Linked DNA regions of Macaca fascicularis. The protein of the gene in region 1 purifies or fractionates together with the protein of each later gene. This does not show direct contact. Links are inferred from orthologs where the notes say so. Each region holds a gene or a part of one and is shown in the gene's direction. Other genes may lie near its edges.

The links.
Region 2: the proteins of CD81 (region 1) and CD46 purify together in Homo sapiens (co-immunoprecipitation; 3 studies listed by BioGRID and IntAct, with this or other methods). This does not show direct contact. The link is inferred for Macaca fascicularis from reciprocal best matches to the Homo sapiens genes CD81 and CD46.
Region 3: the proteins of CD81 (region 1) and IGSF8 purify together in Homo sapiens (co-immunoprecipitation; 3 studies listed by BioGRID and IntAct, with this or other methods). This does not show direct contact. The link is inferred for Macaca fascicularis from reciprocal best matches to the Homo sapiens genes CD81 and IGSF8.
Region 4: the proteins of CD81 (region 1) and ITGB1 purify together in Homo sapiens (affinity purification with western blotting; 4 studies listed by BioGRID and IntAct, with this or other methods). This does not show direct contact. The link is inferred for Macaca fascicularis from reciprocal best matches to the Homo sapiens genes CD81 and ITGB1.
Region 5: the proteins of CD81 (region 1) and PTGFRN purify together in Homo sapiens (co-immunoprecipitation; 7 studies listed by BioGRID and IntAct, with this or other methods). This does not show direct contact. The link is inferred for Macaca fascicularis from reciprocal best matches to the Homo sapiens genes CD81 and PTGFRN.

What each region holds. Positions count from the first base shown.
Region 1 is NC_088388.1:2,297,051-2,301,104, forward strand, and holds the start of CD81 (CD81 antigen), read left to right. Parts: upstream 1-1,243; 5' UTR 1,244-1,475; coding exon 1,476-1,541; intron 1,542-4,054. UniProt on the Homo sapiens protein: Structural component of specialized membrane microdomains known as tetraspanin-enriched microdomains (TERMs), which act as platforms for receptor clustering and signaling.
Region 2 is NC_088375.1:65,575,649-65,579,162, forward strand, and holds part of CD46 (membrane cofactor protein), read left to right. Parts: intron 1-2,428; coding exon 2,429-2,617; intron 2,618-3,021; coding exon 3,022-3,124; intron 3,125-3,514. UniProt on the Homo sapiens protein: Acts as a cofactor for complement factor I, a serine protease which protects autologous cells against complement-mediated injury by cleaving C3b and C4b deposited on host tissue.
Region 3 is NC_088375.1:100,965,659-100,968,054, forward strand, and holds the end of IGSF8 (immunoglobulin superfamily member 8), read left to right. Parts: coding exon 1-307; exon of another isoform or gene 308-536; coding exon 537-950; exon of another isoform or gene 951-1,025; coding exon of another isoform or gene 1,026-1,181; intron 1,182-1,292; coding exon 1,293-1,408; 3' UTR 1,409-1,423; intron 1,424-1,622; 3' UTR 1,623-1,888; downstream 1,889-2,396. Other genes in the region: KCNJ9 (G protein-activated inward rectifier potassium channel 3), read right to left, coding at 1,026-1,181. UniProt on the Homo sapiens protein: Member of the immunoglobulin superfamily (IgSF) that links tetraspanin-enriched microdomains to the actin cytoskeleton and plays several important roles in innate and adaptive immunity.
Region 4 is NC_088383.1:33,709,440-33,713,581, reverse strand, and holds the start of ITGB1 (integrin beta-1), read left to right. Parts: upstream 1-1,333; 5' UTR 1,334-1,436; intron 1,437-1,609; exon of another isoform or gene 1,610-2,533; intron 2,534-4,142.
Region 5 is NC_088375.1:117,488,371-117,492,654, reverse strand, and holds the start of PTGFRN (prostaglandin F2 receptor negative regulator), read left to right. Parts: upstream 1-1,480; 5' UTR 1,481-1,777; coding exon 1,778-1,826; intron 1,827-2,157; exon of another isoform or gene 2,158-2,320; intron 2,321-4,284. UniProt on the Homo sapiens protein: Inhibits the binding of prostaglandin F2-alpha (PGF2-alpha) to its specific FP receptor, by decreasing the receptor number rather than the affinity constant. Functional coupling with the prostaglandin F2-alpha receptor seems to occur.

The sequences.
Region 1 (4,054 bases):
CCGTGGTCTCGATCTCCTGACCTTGTGATCCGCCCGCCTCGGCCTCCCAAAGTGCTGGGATTACAGGCGTGAGCCACCGCGCCCGGCCGTGAATTTAAATTACAATGAAACGCAATGAAAAATTCGGTTCCTTGTGGCCACATTTCCAGTACCCAGTAGTCATTTGTGCCAGGGGTTATCCAGCTACAGAACATTCCCATCATTGCAGAAGGTTCTATCAGTTAGCACTGGATTGGACGACATTTGCTAAGACGAGCTAGCTAGAGCACGGTTCTCCGGACCTGGTTCCACATGGTTCCCAGGTAAGCTCCCGCCCACGACGCAGCCCTGTTGTCCATCAATTTTCTTGGAGAGGACATGGGAAACCTTTGTCGGTGTGTCATCTCCTGCGAAGGCCTTCACTCCTTCCTCTGGGCAGGAAGCACCCCTCACTCTGAATCATTAGCCCAAAGCAGTAAGTGCAGCGGGCCTGGCCCCACACCTACAGGAAGAGCCACAGCGTGAGGCTGGCATCCCTGGGGCACGACACAACCAGGATGTGGATGAAATAGATGCAATATCTGGAGGTTCTCTTATAGGTGGCTCTGGCCTCCTGGACACTTCACACTGGTCTGGGAGCTGCCCTCTCAGGGCCCAGTGACCTTTTCAGATGCAGACTCCTGCAGCATGGGTCAGCAATTCTTCCCTTCCATGGGACAGGGATTGGTTGCCTGTACTTGAGGCCAACACTGACTAGGGGGCCTCATGCCTGCCCCGTTCCAGCCCCGGAGAGCAATGTGAGCAAACCCTCCTGTCTCTGCAAAGCCAACCACTGTGGCATCACCTCCTTTAGGGAGCCCTCCCAGATTGTCCAAGGTGCTCACCTCCTTTGGGGAGCCCTCCCAGATTGTCCAAGGTGCTTGAGGGAGGGAGGAATAGGTTGTTCTCCCGGCACCGGGCCTGCACTCCTGGGTAGACGCTGCATGCCCGTCCTCAGGCGCGGCCCTGCTGCCACCCCCTCGGGGGCTCGGAGCGCGACAGCAGCTTAGGGACGCCTCCCGCGCCCAGCACGGTGCACCCGGGCCCTGAGGTCCTGGCCGAAACGCGCCAAGTTGGGGGTAGGTGCAGCGCCCCCATACCCCTCCGATGCGCGCCCTGGCGACGGGAGGCGGGGCCGGAGGCGGGGCGCGAGCTGGCCGGGGCGGGGCCTACGGGGGGCGGGACCGAGGCGTCCTATAAGTGGTGCTGAGCGCGGCGCGCGCCCGGCCACAGAGCGAGCGCGCAGCGGCGGAGATAGCGGCGACCCCACCGCGCATCCGGCCAGGCCTCCGGCGCCCCGCGCCCCCCGCGCCCCTGCGCCCCCGCGCCCCGTTCTTCGCACCGAGGCCCCTAGGCCCGCCAGGCCCCCTTGCCGGCTGCCCGCCAGGCCCCGCGCCGGCCCGCCCGCCTCCCAGGACCGGCCCGCGCCCCGCAGGCCGCCCGCCGCCCGCGTCGCCATGGGAGTGGAGGGGTGTACCAAGTGCATCAAGTACCTGCTCTTCGTCTTCAATTTCGTCTTCTGGGTAAGGGCTGGGCCGGGGGCCAGGGCGGGAGGGGACGGGCACACACCCCACCTCGGGCAGGTCCCGCGGCCGCGTGCTAGGCCCCGCGGGCGCAGCGCGGGCCGCGAAGTTGTGGGGCCACCTGTGGGCTCCAGGAGCGGGGTGGGGGGTCGCCCGGGGCCGCCGCGCCCCCCAACTTTGGGGCTGAGGGCTGCGAGCCGAGTTTCGGGGCCTCTGTGCGCGGGGGCCCAGCTCTGCGGCCGGGCCGGGGCTTCTGGGGGCCGCCGGGCAGTTCCCGCTAAGTGATAGTGATGGGTGCGGTGGGCGCGGGCCGGGACCCGAGTACCCGGCCGCCCCTCAGCTGAGGAGGGGCCTGCGCGGGTCCCTGGCCGCGGATTCCGGACTGCTGCTTCGCGGGGACGAAGGGGGGGCTCGCGGGCGGGACTCCTGGCGCCCCGCCCCCATGAGCTCATCAAGGGCCGCCGCCCCTGGATGGTGGGGCGGGGGCGCACACTTTGCCCGAGGTTGGGGGCGATCGCCTCACTCTCTCCCCAGCCCAGCTAACTCGCCAGTCTGCTGTCACCACCCGGGACCTTCCCGGGGGTCGCGCCTAAAAGGATGTCACCGCTGGGATGGCCCAAAAGCTGGGGTGCGCGCACCCTGGCTGTCCTGTCTGGGGGCCGATCTCCCTCTCCTCACCCAGACACGTTCCAGCCTAGGCCTCCTCCCAGAAGGGCTCTGGAGGCCTTGCAGGAGTGGGGTCCCGCGGTTCTGAGTTGGCACAAGGAAGAGAGTGGCACCAGGGGCCTGGAGTGGATGGCAGGGTCTGGGAGTGGGGCCGCTGCTTTGGAAAGAGGGGCCCCCACGCTGGGCATCTTTGGGTGCCAACGTGGGTGGAGGAGGGTCTCCTGCTGAGAATGGCTTTCTCCTGACCGCAGTCTTTGCTGCTGGGAAGTGACTGATGGGCTTTCGCCTTTTGTTTCCATTTCCTGTCAGTGTTGGAATTGGGGAGGGGGTGGAAATCCCTTCTTGGCCTGGAAGGACTGGAGTGGGTGTCCATGATGGTGACCTCCCCGCGGCCACGCCCCTGGGCAGACACCGCAAGCCCCTCCCCGTGTCCCCCCAGGCTGTCACCCCCTTCTCGTGGAAGACTCGGCTGATGTCCCAGTGGAGCGAGTGTTTCTCAAGTTGAGGCAGGGAGGGCAAACTTTTAAAATGGCCCCGGAGCCAGTGTGTGGGACCAGAGACATCTGTTTCCCATCTGGACTGTGAGGATCCCAGTGCGGATCTGGGGCAGGGAGATTGTTTGGACGGGGAAGGACAGAGGCTGAACTGAACTCTCAGCTGGGAGAGGAGTGGGGCGGTCACATCCCACCTTCCCCAAGACCGACTGTTCTGCACAGTCTGCTTGGGACACTGGTGGGAGTCACTGTAGCCTTTGGCTCTGCCCTGGCAGTGGGGGCAGCGAGGCCATCTGGGAGGGGCTTGCCCTCCCCAGGCACAGCCCTGGCACCTCGGCCGTTGCTTAGTGGTGGCCTGCTTCAGCCCAGGCATGTGGGAGAGGCACGGGACACAGGATGTCCCTCTGCCGGCCCCTGGAGCCCCATCCCCTGATGAGGAGAGTGTGGGCCTGGGGGCGGGGGCTGAAGGGGAGTCAGGGAAGGGGACTTCTCTGGAGGTGGATTTTTGCTCTCTGGACGATGCGTCACCGCTGGGTCACCGCTGGGTGAGTCCCTCCTGCCTGCCCAGGCTGAGAGGTGTCCCTGGCAGTCCCCCGGGAGTGTCGCCACGGCGGGCCTGGAAGTTTCCCAGGCAGCTGGGGTGGAGACCTGACGCATCCCAGGGATGCTTGTTATTAAGGCTCGAGGAAATGTCTCCAAGGCCTCACCACTCCTCTCCCCAGGGCCCGCTCCCCGCAAAGCATTGAGAACTGAGTCCGTTCACAGTCACTGTGGACCCACCCATCCACTGGGGCTCTGTTGTAGCCAGGAATGCCAGGCTGGGTGAGGTGAGGTTGGTGGGCACCACCCTGGTGGACCCCCCTCCACCGTGGTGTCGCAGGGTGTGTGGCTGAGAGCACAGTGCCATGGGCTTGGGCCTCCCTCAGTGGAGTCCCCACCACACTGCCCTGGTCCTGGGCCTTGGCCTCCCCCGTCTGCAGTGGGGGCCCTCAATGAGCCTGCCTCCTGGCGTTGTTGGTGGATTCACTGACATGCCTGAGTGTTGACAGGGGGCTTGGTACAGGAAGGGCTCAGGGTGTGGGGGTTGGCCAAGGGTCCAAAGGGACCCCTGCCTCAGAGAACCCAGCCCAGGCAGGCAGGATGTGCAGTGGGGAAGGGGCTGCAGGAACCCTGCAGGGCCCAGAGGGACTCAGTGCAGTCCCGTGGGCTCAGGGGAGGCTGGTGGGGAGGAGGTTGACAATGTGTGTCTGGATGGGGCGCTTGTTAAAAGTTCCATTTTAGAGAGGAAAAAGGCCTTGCCTGTGGGAGAAGGCAGCTGGGGTAGCCTGACCTCTTTCACAGAAAGGAGCCCCC
Region 2 (3,514 bases), on another chromosome or scaffold:
CTGAGCAACATAAGGAGAGCCCACCTATACAAAAAATTTGCCCACCTATACAGAAAATTTAAAAAAAAAATTAGCCAGGTGTGATGTTGCACGCCTGTGGTCCCAGCTACTTGTGACGCTGAGGGGGGAGGATCACTGGAGCGCCCGCGGTCAAGGCTGTAGTGAGCCCTGATTGTACTCCAGCTTTGGTGACAGAGTGAGAGACCATGTCTCAAACCAAACAAAACAAAACACAAACACACACAAAACAAAACAGGAAGTTGAAGAAGATGATGAATGCGATTTGAAATAGAGGAACATACAAAAATAAAATGAATAGGGTGCAACATGGAAGATAAAACTAAGAATGAAGAGAAGGAAAAACAAGGTTAAATTTGAGGTTCATAAGCATAAATCAAGACAGGTATGAAACCTAGAGAAAGTGAAAATGAGAACTCACGATGTTAGGCAGAGAGAATACATGGATTAAAATAAACATTCAATTTTTGGAGCAACTCAGTCTCACAAGGAGAAGGTTTTGTAAGCAGACAGTGCTGTGCATGGGAGACCTGCCCTCTCAAAAGTAATTGCCAAATGGTTCCAGATAGCTGAAGGAAACAATGTATCAAAGTTCAGGCCAGTCTCATTCATTCCTCCAGTAGAGGAACTGCTTTTTTGGACAAAATCCCCAATCTCCTGTTGTGTGTGGTCTCTTCTGCCTATTTTAGGTGTTTTCCTTATTTCCGATGAAAGAAGCCAAGATCAGTAAGTGCTTACACAGTAGCTTCTCAGTTGCTTACTCGGCATACTTCCATGCAAAGAGAGCAGTCCATATCCGGTCACCTGCCAGGATACCAGAAGACTGGGAGATAGGTAGCACGAGAAATGGCCTAATCTTCTTTCTCCACTGTGCTGTAGAATGATTGTTTTCAATATGAAATTGGTTACAATATATTATTCACATTGTTTTGTGTTTGACAGCAGTGGACTTTGAGTACCAATTTTTTTGTGGATGGCTACTATGAGTGACATATTGTGCTGCGTGTTGTGGCTGCATGGATGAATGGAGTTGGCCATGTTAACTATTAAACACAAAAGCATGTGATAATTACCTGAGAGATCCATGCAGGAGGAGATTCCAGGGGAAGTTGACTGATCACTGCTTCCCAGGGGGAGGCAGAAAATGCTTCCTGGAGGAGATGATGGGTGGATTAAGGAAGATAAGAGTTGAGCAGGAGTTGTAGCTACTGGCCAGGGAGGAAGGGTATTCAGAGCAGAGGGAGCAAGGTGAGCAACAGCACCAGGATGTGACACTACTGGACTGCCAAACTACTCAGTGTGGCAGAGTAGGGCAAAAGAGGCAAGAAATAAGGAAGAGGATTAAATCACAGGGCAAGTAATTCTGAAAAGCAACAGGCTTATCAGGAATAAACACTCATCATCATAAACTCAGACTTTCACGTTATTATCTGCCCTTTTAGGGCAGCTTGAGCCTTTTGTTTGACTTAGCACAACATGAATCCAAACTAGGGTTGTTTGATCTCCCCAGGCACAGTAGCAGACAATTTATTGAATACTTATTGGCAGATAGAGTTTGTCAGTGTCAGCATTTCTTTTTTTTTTTTTTTTTTTTTTTTTTGAGACGGAGTCTAGCTCTGTCGCCCAGGCTGGAGTGTAGTGGCCGGATCTCAGCTCACTGCAAGCTCCGCCTCCCGGGTTTTTTACGCCATTCTCCTGCCTCAGCCTCCCGAGTAGCTGGGACTACAGGCGCCCGCCACCTCGCCCGGCTAAGTTTTTGTATTTTTTAGTAGAGACGGGGTTTCACCGTGTCAGCCAGGATGGTCTCGATCTCCTGACCTCGTGATCCGCCCGTCTCGGCCTCCCAAAGTGCTGGGATTACAGGCTTGAGCCACCGCGCCCAGCCTAGTGTCAGCATTTCTTGAGCACCCACGAGGTGGGTGGAGTCTAGTAGAAAAAGAAGAACATGTTCCTTGAACCCCAGGAACATGCCTTTTAAGAGAAGATAGCCTGAAGCGACAAGCTATTATAAGTTAGTGTTTTAAACTATGGAAGAACAATCTGAGCAGAGTGCTCTATACTGTAGAAGACTTCTTAGAGGAGAAGTTACTTTTGAAATGCATTTAGAAAAATGTGGGGAAAGATGCGTCTGTATATTTTTTAAGACCAAAGACATTAATGCTGTCTCTTCAGTTTATTGGTGAATGCTTATTCCCAAAGAAACCAAAAGCTAATAGGATTGTTACTTAAAACATGCAAGTCCCATTTCCTCCACTACTACCAGCACTCAGGTAAAAGCATGGAACAATCATTTAAAATCTTGCCAAGGGCCTTTCTGTTTTTTCTGTACTACTTGCTGCCAGACCACAGTCATGGCTCGTTAAAGTGCTATCAGTACTTCATCTTCATGTTCCTATTCTCTTATCCCTAGATGCCTGTGAGGCGCCACCAACATTTGAAGCTATGGAGCTCATTGGTAAACCAAAACCCTACTATAGGGTTGGGGAACGAGTAGATTATAAGTGTAAGAAAGGATACTTCTATATACCTCCTCTTGCCACCCATACTATTTGTGATCGGAATCATACATGGCTACCTGTCTCAGATGAGGGCTGTTATAGTAAGTAAACGAGCCCCCTTTTTTTTTTTTTCTGCTTGCTCTAGAGATTCCTTCCTTCCTTCCTTCCTTTCTTCCCTCCTTCCTTTTTTTTTTCCTGCTTGCTCTAGAGATTTGCACACATTTTGGGGTACATATTCCACTATGGTGATAATGATTTTCTTCTTGTGGAATGAGGTTTAAGATAGCAATGCATTATTGCAGGCTTTGAGAAATCAAAATCTCCAAGAAATCTTTTTCCTGGCAGTAGATTGCCTAGGTGAACATGAAACTGAAATTTGCCCTTATAATAAGTAAATAAAGAAAATAATATTCCCATGCATTCAAAAGAGCACTGCAGAATTTTGATTCTGATTCAGATCTGTTTTATAACTGGATTGAAAACCGTCAAAATTATTTTCTTTTAGGAGAAATGTGTCCACATATACGGGATCCTTTAAATGGTGAAGCAATCCTTGCAAATGGGTCTTACGAGTTTGGTGCTGAGTTACACTTTATTTGTAACGAGGGGTAAGTTGCTCCTTAGAGGAAATAAGGGAAATGTTAGTAATTTTATTTTTGTTTTGCTTCTCTTCTTAAGCTTTCCTGTAAACTTAATTTTGCTTTCTATGTGGCAAGTTATACTTCTAGCCAAACAACTCTTGGATGTTTTATGGAGATAGGCAAGATATTAAAGTAAGTAGAAAATAATTGATACTGAAGGAAAGCAAAACTCCTTGTTATTTCTGACAATAAGTCTGTTGTAAGCATTAAGAATGTAGTAATCATGAGAATTTATCCTTCACAACTGAGTGTCCCCTATTTAAATCCGCCAACTGTTAGAGTTTAAGTAGGGCTCACAAAAATGAGAAATAGAATTGCCAACTACAGATACGCTTGTATCCAGATGACTCTGTTAAG
Region 3 (2,396 bases), on another chromosome or scaffold:
GGCCGTCATGCTGCATACTCTGTAGGTTGGGAGATGGCACCTGCGGGGGCACCTGGGCCTGGCCGCCTGGTAGCCCAGCTGGACACAGAGGGTGTGGGCAGCCTGGGCCCTGGCTATGAGGGCCGACACATTGCCATGGAGAAGGTGGCATCCAGAACATACCGGCTGCGGCTAGAGGCTGCCAGGCCTGGTGATGCGGGCACCTACCGCTGCCTCGCCAAAGCCTATGTTCGGGGGTCTGGGACCCGGCTTCGTGAAGCAGCCAGTGCCCGTTCCCGGCCTCTCCCTGTGCACGTGCGGGAGGAAGGTGAGAGGGGGCTGGGCCCTGGACAGGGTTTGAGGATTGTCAACCCCTTTTCCTTCTGTTTCCATGCCCCCCTCCCTCTCCATCAGCTGCTTGCATGCCACAGCCTCACGCTCCTCTTCTCCCAATATTGTGGGAATACCCTGAGTTTCCCGCGGCGGTGCTTGGCAGCAGCTCTGACCCCATGCTCCCTGGCCCTGCACCCTCTGACCCCATGTCCTTTGTTCCGCAGGCGTGGTGCTGGAGGCTGTGGCGTGGCTAGCAGGAGGCACAGTGTACCGGGGGGAGACTGCCTCCCTGCTGTGCAACATCTCTGTGCGGGGTGGCCCCCCAGGACTGCGGCTGGCCGCCAGCTGGTGGGTGGAGCGACCAGAGGACGGAGAGCTCAGCTCTGTCCCTGCCCAGCTGGTGGGTGGCGTGGGCCAGGATGGTGTGGCAGAGCTGGGAGTCCGGCCTGGAGGAGGCCCTGTCAGCGTAGAGCTGGTGGGGCCCCGAAGCCATCGGCTGAGACTGCACAGCTTGGGGCCCGAGGATGAAGGCGTGTACCACTGTGCCCCCAGCGCCTGGGTGCAGCATGCTGACTACAGCTGGTACCAGGCGGGCAGTGCCCGCTCAGGGCCTGTTACAGTCTACCCCTACATGCATGGTAAGTGACACCCCTCCACCCTCTTCGCTCTGCCTTCCTGCCGGCCCCTGCTGCCGGCCTTCCCTTCCCATCTTCTCACCCTCCTGCTACTATCTCTCTCCTCCACATCCTGTCACATGAAGTCTCAAAAAATCCAACTTCCAGCCCTGCAGTGCCCACCTGCATGGGGTCCTCTGTGGTTGATGCTGACTTGCATGCTGAGAGGGCAGGCTGTGGGCAGGGATGGGGTGCCTGTGAATGGAGAAGGTGGGTTCAGAGAACTTGATGGGGAACGTGTAGAGGCAAGTGTGATGGGTGGAGGATGATGGCATCCTCTCTGAACAGTCATACTCTCTCCCCCAGCCCTGGACACCCTGTTGGTGCCTCTGCTGGTGGGTACAGGCGTGGCCCTAGTCACTGGTGCCACTGTCCTTGGTACCATCACTTGCTGCTTCATGAAGAGGCTTCGAAAACGGTGATCTCTTACTCCCCAGGTGAGGGAAAAGAACCCCCCAACCTTGCTTTCACTGGGCTTCCCACCACCAAGTCCTGAACCAAGCTGCTCCCTTCCAGGCCCCACCTGGAGGAGGAGTAGGCAGCTCAGATCCACAGGGCCCTGTTAAGGGGTGGAGGCCACGAGGGAGCCCCACGCAGGGCTCTCTGTCCTTAGCTCACACTGGGTGCCCTTTTCAGGTCTTGCAGGTGTTGACTGTCTTCCGGCCCAGCTCCAAGCCCTCCTCTGGTTGCCTGGACACCCTCTCCCTCTGTCCACTCTTCCTTTAATTTATTTGACTTCCCACTACCCAGAATGGGAGACATGCCTCCCCTTCCCCACTCCTTCCCTCCCAAGCCCCTCCCTCTGGCCTTCTGTTCTTGATCTCACAGGGATCCTATAGGGAGGCCATTCCCCATCCTGGAATTAGTTTTTCTAAAAGGTGAATAAACTGGTTTTATAAAAAGCAGGCTTGGCTGTGTCTTCCCTACCATGAGACTGTAAAAGGCTCAGGGTGCACAGTAGGGAGGTGGTTGGGGGTTGACAACCTATTCTGGACGACCCAGGCCTCTCTTCCCACCACAAACACCATCTGGCCTCCGCGGGCCATGCCACCTACCCCAGGAGGGGACACCTGGGTTCCATCTGCTGCCTGAACTGTCAGGGCTGAGACAACTCCTGACTGGACTCCTACTTGGGGAGGGAAGCATAGAAAAGGAGGGTAGGTTCCAGCTGCATGTGGTCCCCCCTCCCCAGCTTCTCCCATGTTAAAGGGCATGGGCCTCTAGGGGCAGTGCCTTTTCTGAGCTCCCCAGACTTTCCCCCACTCTTCTTACTCTCCTGGTCAGGCTAGTCTTGGACCTGAGTCCTCCCACTAGACCCTGGGGCTGCAATTCTTGTTCCTTCTGACTGACAGCAGCAGAATAGAAGCCTCAGAACACAACTGATACTCAGGCTGGGACAACAGGCAGTCA
Region 4 (4,142 bases), on another chromosome or scaffold:
ATATTAACATAGGAACATCATTTAGCCTCTTAAGCTTGAACATCCATTAAGCGGGAAAAATAGTGCTTATTTCCTAGAGGTCTGCAGACATTGGCTAACCAATAGTTTTGATTTTGCTGGTAAGTAATGTGCAAATTTTCTTAGATGTGATCGCCTCATTTTCTCTTATATTTTAGATTGGCAGCAGCCAAATGGGCGTTCCAGCCCCTCATCTCCTGCAAGATTCTTCTCAGTTTCATAAATCTGGTAATTTTTGAGCTCTTTTCCCAACAGGGTGCTGCAGCTCACCAAGTGGAACCTACAACATTTTCTGCTACCAGGATAGCAGCTTGCCAGCAGCGTATACTGAAATTACTGGGTTTCAGTATGATGTTGGTTGGTACGAACTTCAATCATCGAATCGACATGCGCCCAGCCATTCTCATAATGAATGTTTCCTTCTCTTTCAAACGTTCTGTTTCCAGCCCCCATCTCCTTTTTTTTTTTCTTTTTTAAAGAGGTTTGAAACAGAAACTCTACTCCGTAGGAAGAAACTTTTCCTTCTCATCCCTGTTCCCCATAAAGGGACCTCCAGATAAATCTATCAAAAGCAGGACCCAACTCACCAGGTTTTCTAAAACGTTCCCCAGTCCCACCACCCTTCGTGGCACCCACGGGTTTCCCAAGTCTTCACCTTTCTCTTAGACACACGCTAGCACATTATCACTCCAGAAAAGCAGTCCTGGCTTAGCCAGTTCCCTTCCAGAATGACCACGTGGTTTTTGGCCCCATGGAGTCCTGCAGGGTATGGGGGGGTTCATGGTACCGATTTGCCTCGGGACTGAGGGGGCTTCCGGGATGCAGGACCTCCCGGGCTCTCAACGGGACATCAGTGGACAAACGGGAGGGAGGGTCGGACACGCGGATCCGAGGAAGCGGAACTTAAAGAACACGGGCCCAGCAGGCTACACCAGGAACGCGCGGGGCTTTAGGGCGCAACCGACCCCTCCCGCCCTTCACAGAGGAGGAAACTGAGGCATGGCGACTGTCTCAGCGGAGTCCCGGCCCTGCCCTCCACGGCCTCCCTCAGGCGCGCTCCCGAGCGGGCCAGTTCCTTTGTCCCGGTCGCGCTTCCTGCCTCCTCCTGCGCCTCCTCCTCGCCCCGGGGCCGGGCTGACGCGGCGGGAGAGGAATGCGTTTCCGGAGGGAGAGGGCGGTGGCGGCCTCGGGAGCGGGATCAGACGCGCAGAGGAGGCGGGGCCGCGGCTGGTTTCCTGCCGGGGGGCGGCTCTGGGCCGCCGAGTCCCCTCCTCCCGCCCCTGAGGAGGAGGAGCCGCCGCCACCCGCCGCGCCCGAGACTCGGGAGGCCCCGCCAGCCCGCAGGAGAGGCCGAGCGGGAGTCGCGGAACAGCAGGCCGGAGCCCACCGCGCCGGGGCCCGGACGCCGCGCGGAGAAGGTAGGCGCCGGCGGGCCTCGGGTGTGGGGGTGCGGGCCGCGGCCTCGGGTCTGCGGTGCGCAACAGCACTTAACAGCCGCCGGCCCGGGCCGCGCCGGGACCTTTGTGCCAGGCGTGGGGGCGGGGGCGGGGGCGGCCGCGGGCCGGTGGGGGCTGGGGCGGGATTCCAGGCTAGTCCGGGAGGAAGTCCGCACACCGCCACCCCCCTCGGGTCCCAGGCGCTGGCAGCGTCCGGGCGCCGAGTCGGCCCAGCCGCGTTCCGAGCGCTAGGGTCGCGGGCCTGGGCGCTGTCACGTCGGGGCTGCTGGAGCTGCGGAGGACCGGGCCTGAGCGGCTCCTGACACCTGCGGTCTCCCGCCAGGCTGGGCGAGCGCAGGTGGGAGCCAGCGAGGCCACCCGGGGCTCGGCGTTTAGGACTCAGCGCGCCCCTGGACTGGTCCTGCGCCTTTGTCTCTCGCTCCCTCGCTGGCTGCTGTTTTTGGAGCAGCGTCGAGCCGGCCGTCGGCGCCCGCTGTTGGGACTGGTCTTCTCCGACTGGAGCCGGGATAGAAAGTGGCCTCGCGGAGCCGCTGGGGACCGGGGGCGCGGCGGCGGCAGTGCAGTTCACTTCCCGGTGTTTATAAACGCGAATGCCGGGAAGTCAAGAGTCGCCGGCCCCTGCCGGGCACCCCGGGACCAGGACACAGGGCCACGGCCACTTTGCGCTCAGACCCGGTCCGCGAGCCTGAGAGCCCGTCCTGTGTCTAGTATCATTTTTACCGCGTGTCATTTCTTAGGCTTCATAAATTGGATTTATGAGACTCCCACTCTCTAAGTAACTTTCATTTAATCAAATTCGTGCTTTTAAGTCCAAAGCTTTGCACTCATTGGTATGATCATTAGTAAATTGCATTCTCTAAGCTTCCGTTTCCTCATCTGTGAAATAGGAACAATACTACCTACACTAATAATTCATTTTTATAACAATGACAGCGAGGGCCAGGTTTAGCTCTAGGCATTTCATGTGTATTATTTAATTCTGGAACTGCTCTAATGAGATTGCTACTGTTTCTATTTCCATTTTCCGAGTGAAGAAACGGAGGCACAGGGAGCAAAAAGTAAGTTGCATATGGTCATCGGGAGCTCCTGGAGAAGGCATGGGGTCTAGCTCCAGAGCCTACGTTTAAACCAAAAGTAACCTTCCTAACTATAGTCGTGAAAATCAAATGCAAAATGTAAAACACTTAGCTTGAGAGTAGATGCTCAATGAATATTGACTGCTTTTCAGCCCTTCTTTTATAGTAAAAAGATTTCTCGGAAGGTAATTGGTAACATCATTAGTAAGGTTTCTTTGGGCCAACGTGCCACATGGATAACAGGTGGATAGAATTGCTAGGTTATTTTGTTTTGTTTTGAGACAGGGTCTCTGTCGCCCAGGCTGGAGTGCAGAGGAGCTATCACAGCTCACTGCAGCCTCAGCCTCTCGTGCTTAAGTTATTTTTCCACCTCAGCCACCTGAGTAGCTGGAACGACAGGCGCCTGCCACCATGCCCGGCTAATTTTTTAATTTTTTGTAGAGACAGGATTTCACTATGCTGCCCAGGCTGGCCTCAAACTCCTAGGCTCAAGCAGTCCTCTCTCCTAGAGCTCCCAAAGTGTTGGGATTACAGACTTGAGCCCCCTGAGCCTGGCCCTTAGGTTATTATTATTTTTCTTATTGTACTTCTGATGCTACAAAAATAACGTTCTAGAGGAATTTAGACATCTTTCTTAAACCACATATGCCCTTTACGATAGGGTATACAATAGGCCACTTTTAGAAATGATTAAGGAACTTTAGTTGGCAGTTACCTGTTCATTTGTGGACATCAAGGCCCAGAGGGGTCAGGACTTAGAGTCTCACTGTAATTCTCATATTTTTAAATAATGTTGGCTCATTGATCAATATTATATAAGTGACTGAAGATGGTGAAGTGTTAAATAAAAAACATTGGTATTTTGATTACAGGCATTTGGGGGGAAAGCCATTTTACTTACCCCAAAATTGAGTATGAAGGTGGAAGATGTTATTAGAATACTAGCTAAAAGGACAAAGAATGTGGTTAATAGTTTAATTGTGTAAAAAGGAAGCAAATAGACTGTTTAACTCATCTATGTTGACTTCAGACCTAGACCTACAATTTTATGTGATTTTCCTAACAATGTAAAGTTCTGTATTAAAGTTATTTTTGAATACCTTCAACATTCTGTACATGAAATGCATGGAATCAACAATTCTGAAAGTCACTGCATTTAGTAATTTTAACAATTAGGCAGCTTTCTTCTTAGCTTTCTGGTCAGTATAATTTAATTTAAATCAGCCCCAAATTACCATCACGAATGAAAATGTAGTTCTACATTGGTGTTCTTCCTAACTCTGGGAGTGACACTGGGGACAAATGGTCATACTATAATAATGAAAAGTGGTCAAACAACATGGTGCCAGTTTTTCTAAGAGTGCTTGCCACTGATTTTAATGTCTTTATTGTTTGACTTCTTGATAAGTAAGTTGTGGCTTACAGCAGGGAGTAGTACAGTGTTCTGTCCGAAAAAAATATTCATTAATATTCTGTAGCTGCTCTGGTTTGCCCTTAACCATGCTGCTAGTGTGATAAGCTGAAACATCTTGTAAAAGTTTCAGAGAGCTTTCAAGTTCCGAGAACTTAACTTTCTGAGTATGTAACAAGC
Region 5 (4,284 bases), on another chromosome or scaffold:
TGTCTACAAAAAAATAGAAACAATTAGCTAGAGTGTGGTGGCACACATATGTGGTCCCAGCTATTGAGAGGTGGAGGTGGGAGGATTGCTTGAGCCTGGGATGTCAAGGCGGCAGTGATTCCTGATCGCAGCACTGCACTTCAGCCTGGGTGACAGATCGAGATACTGTCTCAAAAATGAAATAAGAAAAAAGACAAAACAAATAAAAACTCCTGGTTTCAAGCAACACCATCCTTGCCCCCGCTCCCGGCCTCCCTCTACCCCCGCCCCCGCCCCCAACTTCAGTCTTCTGAGTAGCTAGCATTACAGGTACCAGTTACCATGCCTAGCAATTTTAAACATTTCTAAATGTACCATTCAGTGCCATTAAGTACAATAACGTTGCACCACCAGGAATGAATTTTTAAGACTCTTTCCAAAGGGTTCATACCTGGCTAATCACACATTTGATAGTGGAAATAAGAAACATTTGTTGGTTGAAACACGGATGCATGAGAGTAAAAGTAGTGTTCTTCCCCTGTGTGAGTGTGGGCAGTTTCCGCATAAGCATCTGTGATCCGTTTTCCACATGTGAATGAAAGCCCAGTGAGGGGCAGTGGGCACCAGTCCTGCTCCTTGCGTGTCTGAATCATGCTTGCTAAGTTTCAAGCAAGGAATGCTCCCTTTCTCCCAATACCCGTGGGGCCTTTTGTATTCAAATCAAAAGCACAAAACTCTATTGTGGGGGGAAGTATGAGTCTTTATTGGCAACCAGTGGTGTCCACTTAGAGCAAGAAATATGAAGTCTTAACAGTACATTCTATATGAAGTACTATAGCTATTAATACACTTGGGTTTCGTTTGTTTTTTAAATGGGTGTCTTTGTGTGGAGCTGTTCTAATCAGTGCCACAGGCGCTGAGGAGAGGGAGGGTGCTGGGTAAGGAGGAGGCAGGCCCACCCAAATCACCGGGGAGTGGGCAGTCAGGACAGCGGGGTTCTGATTTTGCCCCTTCCCTGTGAATCCTTGGGCACCTCACCGAAACACTTAAGGCCTCTGTATGGTAGACGTTGGAATCCGTGGCCTTCAAAAGTCCTTTCAGCTCCTTCGCTCCCATCTGCGTAATTTTTGGCATAGGCCAAGCGGCTGGTTGCTGGGGTGTTTAGCTCAGGACGAGAGGCCGAACGAGCGGGCAGTTGATTGAGGATAGACTAGACACGCGTGGGTGACTCCAGCGTGATGGAACGCGGGGTGTCCCGGGATAGGGCTAAAGCGAAGGGATTTCCAGACGAGTCTTTCCCAGGCCAACTTTTAAAGGTCGGAGGAAAGTTTCTCGTGGGGTGGGGGCCTAGAGGGGAAGGCAGGGTGGGCTCCGACGCCTCCTCGCCTTTAAGCGGGTGGCCCCTGCGCTTCCTCCGTTACCTGGAGCGGGGAGGGGCTTGGGAAAGTTTGTGTTTGTTGCTGGCAAAGCGCCGGATGGGAGGCGCGGGCGGGCGGGCGCTGCGGTTCTTCCCTTCTGCTTTCGGGAAGCGGTCGGGGCTGCACACTCGGATCGGCGGGGCCGGCTCCCGGGCCCGGCCGGCTGGAGGAGGGAGGGAAGGAGGCGGGAGGGAGCGAGCGGAGCCAGGGGCGCACGTACGCCCCAGCGCTGGGATTTATCGGCTCGCGAGGAGAGCGGAGCAGGCGCGCGGCCCAGGCGGAGGAGCGCCGACTCTGGAGCAGCCGGAGCTGGAGGAGGAGGAGGAGGAGAGGCGGCGGGGAAGGAGGAGGAGGGGGAGAGTCGCTCCCGCCGGGCGAGCATGGGGCGCCTGGCGCCGAGGCCGCTGCTGCTGGCGCTCCTGTCGCTGGGTGAGTGTGCGCGGGGCTCAGCTGGGCGCAGGGGGTCTGGCAGGGCCCTGGAGGGCTCGGCGGGGCGCGGCTGCAGCGCGCGGCCTGGGTCACTGAGGGTGCCCGGGCTGCTCCCGGGAAACCCGGCCGGGGTGCGCGGGCTGCTTGGCCCGGCGGGGAGCGGCCGCGGGGCCGCCCGGAGCCTGGCGCGAATCAGCCCGGGCCCCGCGCGCAGGGTGCAAGTGGCGGCTCCGCCAGGCCGAGCCTCGCCCCCAACATGTGCCGGGGGGAGTGGCCCGGGCCGGCTTTCCCCAGCCCTCCCTACCTGTTGGCCGCCGGGAGCCCGGCTCACCTTGAACTCCCGGCCCGGAAGGTGCTGCGGTCCCGGCCCGGGTCCCCCGCTCGAGAGCGGAAATGTGAGCCTTTGATATGCCCCGCCATAGCCGCCGCCGGCCGGGTCTCTCTTCGCCCAGCCCGCGCGGAGTTGCCTTTCCAGGGAAGCGAGAGAATCCTCCAACTTCCTTCCACGAAGGTCACAGGGTGGCCCGGAGCGTTACAATGGAAATCGGCGGGCGAGTCCTGCCGTCATTTTCGTCGTGGCTAGATTGTCTGCCTCAGTCTTTTCTTTTAGCTTTTCTTGAAGCTGCCTAGCTGCGTATTTATACACAAAGACCTAAGAGCCTGGCTTCTCCAACTTTTTCTACCTGTTACTTTTCCTCCCTTACTGTCCCCTCATCTTCCACCCTCCGGAAACCCTCGGTGCCCCGTGAGGTTTTGGCCCAGCGCCCTCCCCCCACCCAAGGAATCTTTTGTGGGTTTTTTCCCTCTCCATTTTCCATTCACTCCATACACAGACACCATCTTCACGTAGATCCACATGGTGATCCTAGCCAGCCACGGAAATATGTTTATTAAGTGCCCACCATGGTACCCCAGGGCCGACTCTTAAATGCTTTGATATTCTTGGATCCTTGTGGTCAGTGTCAACCAGGACAAGATGATTCTTATGACCCGGCCTGGGGTTCTCTTCCAAGCCCCTAGAGAAGGCAGATCTGAGTCTTTTACAGAGCGCATGGTGTGCGGTGTCCGTCCCATCCAGGTCCCAGCTGCACACAGCGCAAATGACTACTCTGCACTTATGGTCGGAGGGTCCCAGAGAAGGCCTTCTATAGCCACTCCCCTACTGGGGACACCGGGGGCCCACACTGCTCTAAGCCCCGTGACTCCTGCTGCTGGTAAACCAGCCTTGCTAGCTTCTGTGTTTTCTTCCTTCACCTTGAAGAGATTTTCTGAACTGACTCCCTCAGAGAGCTCGTCCAGCCACATTGCTTCAGCTTCAGCCCATGTGCAGAAAGCTTCCAGATCTTCCACTTAGTTTTATGGCATCTTTTCTATAGTCCCTGATCCTAGTGCTTTGTTTTTATTTTTGAAACAAAGCCTCACTCTGTCACCCAGTCTGGAGTTCAGTAGCACAACCATAGCTCACTGAAGCCTCAAACTCCTGGGCTCAATTGACTCTCCCACCTGAGCCTCCTGAAGTGCTGGGATTACAGGCATGCTCCACCACACCCGGTGGTAGTGCTTTTAATCTTTACTTTTCACTGCGGGACCCTTGTAAGTTGTATGTTAGTGGTGCACTGCTGTTATAGTCCACACACAATTTTTATTGACTGTGTGTGTCTAGGTCAAGCAGGGCCGTGGCCTGGGTTTGCACAGATTGTGCACTGTGCAACTTCGGGAGCTGCTGTTCACTTTGTAGTCTGTGTGAATGACTCCCCCTAGAGTTGTGCAGTTCTTTGAACAACCTGGGTACCAGTTATGAGGGTGGGATGAGGTAGAACTTTGAAAACTTTGAAAACAATGCCCTTGAGTAATCATAATGAGGGGGGAAGAGGGAAGGGGGCAAAGAGAGACTGACAAAAGCAAAATAGAAGTGGGGAAAGCACAGCTTGGGGAAATCTTGATTGTACTCCAGCATATCCTGTCCTGGCTGGATGCCTCCTATGAATTACACTGGGAATTTCTGTGGTGTCACTAGCCGGTGCCTTTTTACCTGACAGTTCTCTGAACCATTGATGACCCTCCTGATAACTCTGCTGCCACAGAATCTCACTTGGCGTGACTTCAGCCTGACCTCTGGGAAGGTCTCCCTGTGTTACACTACTCTAGCACTGTACTGATCCCTGAAATGTAATACATTGATAAGCAAGATCATCTTTCCTCCTAGGGAGTAACCTGAGTATAATCTTGGTATCACTGCTCTTTTTGACCTCCACATTCACATAGTCTCTCAATTCTTGCGTCTCCCCATAGCACAGACTCCAGCTTCTTCCTTTCCTTCCTGTTTCTACGGCTACTGTCTTAGCCCAGGTCCCAATTGTTTCCCACACAATTGGTGTCTTCGTGGTTGGTTATTTCCTCCAGCCTCCCTTTTAAGCTCATCCTTTTCCTAAATGATCATTTTTGGGGCTCCCACCTG